Linked DNA regions of Drosophila melanogaster. The protein of the gene in region 1 interacts with the protein of each later gene in a biochemical or structural test. Each region holds a gene or a part of one and is shown in the gene's direction. Other genes may lie near its edges.

Region 1 (3,753 bases):
AAAAACGACCTGAAATAATATTCATCCGTTGGTAAATAGAAAATAATGTTACATTGACTTACTTTTGCGAAGGCAATTTGTTCTTCCACTTGGGTTACACATGTAAAGGCAAACAAGTGTCCTGACTTATCAATATCCAAGCAATAATGTTCCTTCACAGTGTATGATTCGTTGCCAAATTTGTCGATGATTAATAACGAACCGTCTTGCAGAACAAAGAAAACATCGTCTTTGTCGTCGTACAAAAGAGAACTAATTTTGCAGAAGAATTTGTACTTTGATTCAATTTAACATTCGCTTTCATACCTGTTGCACGGATTTCCAATGTCGTAGTCGAGCGTAGTCTCAACCTCCAAATCTTCAATGCAGTTATCGAACAGAACTGCACTTATTATAGTCGGTTCGAAGCTTAAGAGCCCGTTGTCGCACATCGAATCGCTTTGATTTTCCCGATATATATTTAAGTTTTCTCCATGTGGGCAGCATTTTCTTAAACGAGACGATGGTGTTGCAACTGGTTGCTTTCTGTACTTTTCCCGTTGAGAACAGTCCGCCGGATCTAACGGGTTGTCTACAGGACTTTGAACAGGAACAGAGGTTGCGAACCTAGCACCTGATATTGTTGCAGCTTCTGTCGAATATGTTTGAGGTACAACCAGTGTTGAATGTATTGAGGCGTCCAGAACGTCAATCGAAGTGCTATTGAATGTGTCTTCATGGAAAATACTAAGCAAAGCAAAATATATTATAGAAAATGCAAAGATTCCAAAATTAGTATTTTTCGAAAACAAATATTTTGAGTATTTCTTACTTTGAGTTGTTTGATCCCTTCGAACTGTTATTTACAGTGCTTATCTGTGCGGAGGCGTTAAAAAACGTTTGTAAACTGATTAGAGCTAGGAGAAAATTCCAGTGGCCTAGATTCATATTGCCTTTTCAACCAATCTACAAAAAATATATAGCATAAAATGAATAAAACAAAATTGCCGAGTTCGTTTACACAGAAAGTATGTAAACAAACCAAATTTTGACATTAGTTAGGTGGTGTGGGAACTGGTAAGATATGGGCTATCTTATCTGTGTAAGATACCAGTAGAGTGCGTTATCATAATATAACACATGACGTCAGACGAATGTGGTAGCACATTCCTTAGAATTGATCAATACTCGGAAAATTACACTCATCAACTTATACAAAACCGCGTTAAATGTCAATTTTTGCGCACTGATTATTTGATTAGATCATATTTTATTCAATTATTGTATTTTTAAAAATAAACTATTTATGGCAATTATTGTTTACGTACATGTCAAATAATTTATGCTTGCTATTTAAAATGCAACCACTGAGCTTGATTAATAAAGTAATACTAGCGAAAAAGAAGTTTTAATTCTGCAATGGAATCACTTTGTGCAGGCGATAAGATAACGATGTTTTCAGGGCTTCAAAGCAAATTGTTTACCCTAATTTCTTTAACAATAACACATTTCTCAACAAACACAATTAAAATACTTTAATTTAGTATTTTTAGAATAATTTTTTAAAAAATTTAAGTAATAATAATATAAAAACCTTTCCCAGTAAACAAAAAATCGTAACGGCAACTTATTATCGATAACATTTTTAATGGATTTTTCGTGGTCGGCAATTTACGAAATGAGATCACCAGGATTTAAAATGCGAAATTGGGTAGAATGTAATACACTAAAATAAATTTACAAAAAAATACATTTTTTTTACCGCATCAAAAATACCGTTTTAATTTTTAAGATAGTGAGCAAAGGTAAGTTTATTTTGATTACAAGTTAACGGGTTTTCTTTAAACGCCCGCTCAACACGTCGATAAAAATAAAAATACATCTGTCAGTGCGGTTCAGCGTAAATGCCAAAAGCAACCCTGCCTATATCGTTTGTGCAACCATAAAGAATTAGTTCTCCAAGCCGACCGCAAGAGGACGCTTCTGACTTCACGCAATAGAAGAGTCGCTGTGATTGGCCGACTGTACACCGTCTTTAGCTATGTTCAAAACTGTAATGTTAGGTAAAAGTCTCTTTCGCAGTGTGCTGAAGATAGTTAAAAATATTAGAATATATCGTGTTAAATCCTGTGCAATTATTCCGCAACATGCTGGGTAATTTGCGCAGTTAATCCATGTGTTAATTGTGAAAGAAGAGTGACATTTAAACAGACGCAAAAATTTTCACGGTTGCTTAAATGGCGGACAATGTGCGTTGGCTTCATTTCATCGCACTCGCACACATACAATCGAACTTGGTGGTGCTGTCCAGTGCGTTTGCCGTCCAACACTAGAAGCCAAGAATGTGTTTTGAATACATGTACTTAATGTATTTAATCGGAACCGTTATTCTGAACTAAACAAGCTCTTTTGGCGGGTTTTTTTCAACTCCAAATTTGCGCAATACAAAGAAAGTGAACACCCAACGACAAACTTTTGACGATCTGATCGATTTTTCCCCCACATACGCTGTTGAGTAAATGTGTGTTTGAATGTGCCCCGTAAATACATAGCTAGCTGAGTGCGAGTGAGATGCGGTGTGCGTTCCTGTGGCACCGTGTACTAATGGGTTAATTTTCGTTTCAGATCTAATGTGCAGCCTCGCAGCATTAACTTGGAACAATATCTGAGGAGAGTACCCCCACGCACCCCTGCACACAGCCAGATAAATACGCAAGGCGAAAACAAACAAGATGAGCGGTCGCGGCAGCCGTAAACGTGGACGTCCGCCAAAGACGCCCAACGAACGCGCATCAGGACGCTTCAATTACCAGCTTCTCAAGAAGCCGAAGTATCTCAGCGAGGGAAAGTCGCAGCCCAGCACTCCGTCGGCATCCAGGGGCATTTCTCCACAGAGCGACGAGGGCAGCAGGAGCAGCCACAACAACCACACCAATCGCAGTCGCGGGAGCGCCGCTAAGAGGGGACGAGGCCGCAAATCCGCCGTGCAACCGAACACCAGTAGCTACTCTGGAAGGAAAGGTGGGTTAAAGGGGCACCTAAACTCTAACTTGGGAGTCAAGACTTACAGTTTCGCTCTGACTAGTTCGAAGATTAATAGGGAACATAATGTGCCATATATTGATTGCAGTGGAGAAAACTTTGATCGTTTTGAATGGTACTCATACTTCAAACGAGTTTTCCTGTGCGTTAAAGAGCTTCCGCTTCATAAAAGATCAAATTTAATATTTTCGTGACAACCACTACCGGGCGAGTCAGTTTCGATAGGTCTATCTGCTCTAATACCAACGATTATTTTTGAAATCTTACGACAAAAAATCTTTCAGTCTAGTTGGCATGAGTTTAATAACAATTACTTAAATACAATTCAGTAGAAATTGGGTCCACAATAGCAGTGACAGTATGTCAGGTTTTATGCACTTAGGTGTTGGTGAAATCATATTGGTTCTAAGAGCTACTGTTCCTCTTTTCAGGGTACGAGTCGGAGTATCACTACGGGTCAGATTTTGGGGATTCCGAAGAAGATAAATCCGATAATGAGGATGATATGCTGCTTACTCCCAGCGACGACGAGAGCCTAGAAGTAGCCAACGAGAGCGAATCAGAGTTTTCCGTGTGCAGCTTTAACCAAAATGGAGTTGGTCGGCCGCCACGTCCTCCTAGCCCAGAACCTGTGTGGCTGCAGGAAGGTCGTCAGTATGCAGCGCTTGATTTGCCGGACTCGTCGGAGGATCTTTTCATTGCTAATACACACGTTTTGCGCGCGCTAAGTAT
Region 2 (3,753 bases), on another chromosome or scaffold:
TAGAGTGGAACGGCGGCGGCAACAAGCTCCTCGCAAGCCTGCCAAATGGCCTCGATGAGCTGCGGAAAGGCATCTCCCAGATGACGAACCTTGGCCACAATGTCGGCGGTGCTGCGACTCACACGACTGTCCACCAGCAGGATGTTTAGTGGTTTCTGGATCTTCAGCGACTGGAAGCCCTGGCCCTTGACATACCGCAACATTCCGCCGTAGGTGCATACAGTGTTGTCCAGACCCGAGGGCGTGCCATGATTAACACGCTCCGATTCATAAGCCCAGGACGAGATCAACGCCTGGTTTGCCTCCGACAAGTAGCTGTCTCTATCAAAGTGTCCGGCCAAAATGAGAAATGTCGTGGCCAAAGCTGCTCCGAAAGAGGCGGAACTGCCCAAACCCGCACCCACGGTTAGCTGGCTGTCTACCTGCACCTGGAAACCGGTTTGCAGCGTCAGTTTCTTGTCGCCGGGTGCGGAGAGTACAGCGCCGGCCAGCAAATAGTATATGGAGATGAATGCCCGCTGGGTGTGCTGCTTCGGTGCATTGCCTCCGGATCGTTCAAGTTGTTTGGACACCTCTGCGCGGACGGCTTCCAACAGATTGGCCGTGCTATCTGATGGGTATTTACTCCTAAATTCAGCCAAAAATCCATTGAACTCCGGCAACTGGATCTCCAGTGTGCAGTTAAGGGCCTCCAGTTGAAAACTTGCCACCTGGCTGTCCTCCAGCTGCCGAAATCTCAGAGTAGTGCCCAAACCCACTACGGCGGCGAGGGCGGGACGATGATAGACCACGGCGTGTTCGCCATGGAGTATGACCTTGCCCGGAGAATGGACCTGGAACTTGAGCATTGTTCTTGATGATCTCCGTGTATTGTGTGTTCTGTATTCCGTTTGGCTATGGCTTTATCGGTTTATCAGCTGTTTCGAATTGTAATGCTAATGCCTTTCGAGTGGACGACCTGCGACAAGTAGTTAAACTTTTATGGCTGTATTTCTTTATGTAACTTATGCATTTAGTGGATCATTTGCGTTGTTTATTCGGTAACTCCTATTTCTGGCTGCCGATTCCTGTGCTTTCCCTTTCACTTTCTTTGTGCGACTGGCGTTTTTCGGCTTGTTCGTCTCTTCGATCGGAAAGCGCAACCATCAGCAAAACGAACAACAGGTTTTTGCGGCTAGTGTTTGCTGTTGTTGTATCGCTCGTGTATATGTATGTGTGTTGTTGGTTTTTTTTTATTCGGTACTACTATTGGGCTTTCACTTTCTCCCACTCTTCGGGTGTGTAGGATTTCTGGGAGAATGCATGGATTTCTTTCAGTTCTTCGGCAAGCGTTGAGTTAACTAATCTATGCTTCTGGAGAAGGGTCTTGCCGCTGAAGGCTGGCGATACGATTACGGCGCTGAACTTGCCGCCACAGCCGTCTGATTCGTCCGTAACACTCACGTACTCCGTCTGCAGTTCCCGTTTGAGCTTCTCCTCGAGGTACTTTGAGTCGTATTTACTCATTTTGGATGGTTTTTTTTTCAAACGAAACGAGGTGATGGAGTGGTTGTGTGACCGTATTGGGCTTCAGGCAAAAACAGGTTTTCCATAAGCCGGGTGGTAGTTTTTCTATCTGCGCTGACCTTGGCCACACCTAGCACCATTTTAAATGTTCTTTTTCGGGGGGTTTCTTGCGATATATCTATTAAATACTTTAATATGGGGGTTGTCTAAGTAATTTAACAGATTTTGTCTTTGTTCATATAGTTTGGGGCAGCCATTCAAGTCTAAAACGATGTAGTACATATTGTCATATTTAGATTCAGTTTCCACCACAGGGCTTATTTCTAAAATATTATGAGACCCCATTAGACTTTTCGATTCCTGCTATATTCCATCATCTCAAACTTAAACATTAGGCAATAATTTTTAAACAAACGCAAACAATTTAAAAAGATAACCTATTTGATTAATCAGAATAACGGCTTTGTCTAAAACTAATAATAACGGCACACGGCCAGTGCTGCCATTCATAGTAATCCATCAAAACTATCGATAGTTCGTATTCTCGATTTGTTTGCCGCCACCGTCGCTGCCGCAGCCAACTTCGCGCATTCATCGCATAATCTAGCGATAGCACGCGCAGATTTCCCACCATTCATTAAAAAAAATCGCATGTAATTATTTACAATTTGTTTAAGCGAAACAAACATTGTTTTGTGTAAATTGCCTTTTATTTATATACTGAAAGTATAACTAACAGGTTGCACACTCGATTTTCAGTTCACATTAAACGACACCAGTGTGCAGCACGCTTGATTGGCGAGGGGAAATTTGTGGAAAAATTAAGTTCATTTAGAGACAGACGCCGGCATTGCAAATATGTCCAAAACAGATACAGCTGCCGTGGAGGCAACCGAAGAGAACTCGGTAAGTTAATATACAGCAGGCTTTGTCTAAGGACTTCTATACATATATTCTGAACTCTGCCAGAACGAGACGACTTCAGATGCGGCCACCAGTTCATCCGGTGAAAAGGAGGCTGAGTTCGACAACAAAATCGAGGCTGATCGCAGTAGGCGCTTTGATTTCCTGCTAAAGCAGACGGAGATATTCACCCACTTCATGACTAACAGCGCTAAGAGTCCCACGAAGCCTAAGGGTAGACCCAAGAAGATCAAAGACAAGGACAAGGAAAAGGATGTGGCCGAGTGAGTTAAACTCCCCCTATAAAAAAGCCAACTACTTTATCTATTGGTGTACTTTTGTATTAAACAGTCATCGTCATCGCAAGACAGAGCAGGAGGAGGATGAGGAGTTGCTGGCGGAAGACTCGGCCACCAAGGAGATCTTTCGCTTCGATGCCTCACCCGCCTACATCAAAAGTGGAGAGATGCGTGACTACCAGATTCGCGGTCTTAACTGGATGATTTCGCTTTACGAAAATGGTATCAATGGAATTCTGGCCGATGAAATGGGTCTAGGAAAGACCCTGCAGACCATATCTCTGCTGGGTTACCTCAAGCATTTCAAGTGAGTTTTCATAAACATCTATTGTTTTAAAGAAATCTCTAAATACCATATTTGCGTGCAGAAATCAAGCTGGACCACACATCGTCATCGTGCCAAAGTCAACGCTTCAGAATTGGGTAAATGAGTTTAAAAAGTGGTGTCCTTCCCTCAGAGCCGTCTGCCTTATTGGTGACCAGGACACCCGTAACACCTTCATTAGAGATGTGCTCATGCCTGGCGAGTGGGACGTTTGCGTGACCTCCTATGAGATGTGTATCCGCGAGAAGTCTGTATTCAAGAAGTTCAACTGGCGCTATTTGGTCATCGACGAGGCGCATCGTATCAAGAACGAGAAGTCGAAGCTGTCGGAGATTCTGCGAGAGTTTAAGACCGCTAATCGTCTACTTATCACGGGTACTCCGCTGCAGAATAACCTCCACGAGCTGTGGGCCCTGCTTAATTTCCTGCTGCCCGATGTGTTTAATTCGTCAGAGGATTTTGACGAATGGTTCAACACGAACACCTGCCTGGGTGACGATGCATTGATTACGCGTTTGCATGCCGTGCTGAAACCTTTCCTGCTCCGTCGTCTAAAGGCCGAAGTGGAGAAGCGTCTGAAGCCGAAGAAGGAGATGAAAATATTTGTGGGTCTATCCAAGATGCAACGCGACTGGTACACCAAGGTGCTGCTTAAGGACATTGATGTAGTGAACGGTGCTGGCAAAGTGGAGAAGATGCGACTGCAGAACATCCTTATGC

The links. The genes of interacting proteins can lie anywhere in the genome.
Region 2: the proteins of E(bx) (region 1) and Iswi form a complex in vitro, tested with the Drosophila melanogaster proteins (one study listed by BioGRID).

The regions. Positions count from the first base shown.
Region 1 is NT_037436.4:245,175-248,927, reverse strand, and holds the start of E(bx) (enhancer of bithorax), read left to right. Parts: upstream 1-2,015; 5' UTR 2,016-2,545; intron 2,546-2,604; 5' UTR 2,605-2,711; coding exon 2,712-3,000; intron 3,001-3,452; coding exon 3,453-3,753. Other genes in the region: mthl14 (methuselah-like 14), read right to left, coding at 1-9, 63-252, 307-726, 812-927. UniProt on the Drosophila melanogaster protein: Histone-binding component of NURF (nucleosome remodeling factor), a complex which catalyzes ATP-dependent nucleosome sliding and facilitates transcription of chromatin.
Region 2 is NT_033778.4:12,634,579-12,638,331, forward strand, and holds the start of Iswi (imitation SWI), read left to right. Parts: upstream 1-2,092; 5' UTR 2,093-2,203; exon of another isoform or gene 2,204-2,265; 5' UTR 2,266-2,364; coding exon 2,365-2,412; intron 2,413-2,475; coding exon 2,476-2,693; intron 2,694-2,760; coding exon 2,761-3,015; intron 3,016-3,076; coding exon 3,077-3,753. Other genes in the region: Mvk (mevalonate kinase), read right to left, coding at 1-848; CG33672 (uncharacterized protein), read right to left, coding at 1,246-1,506.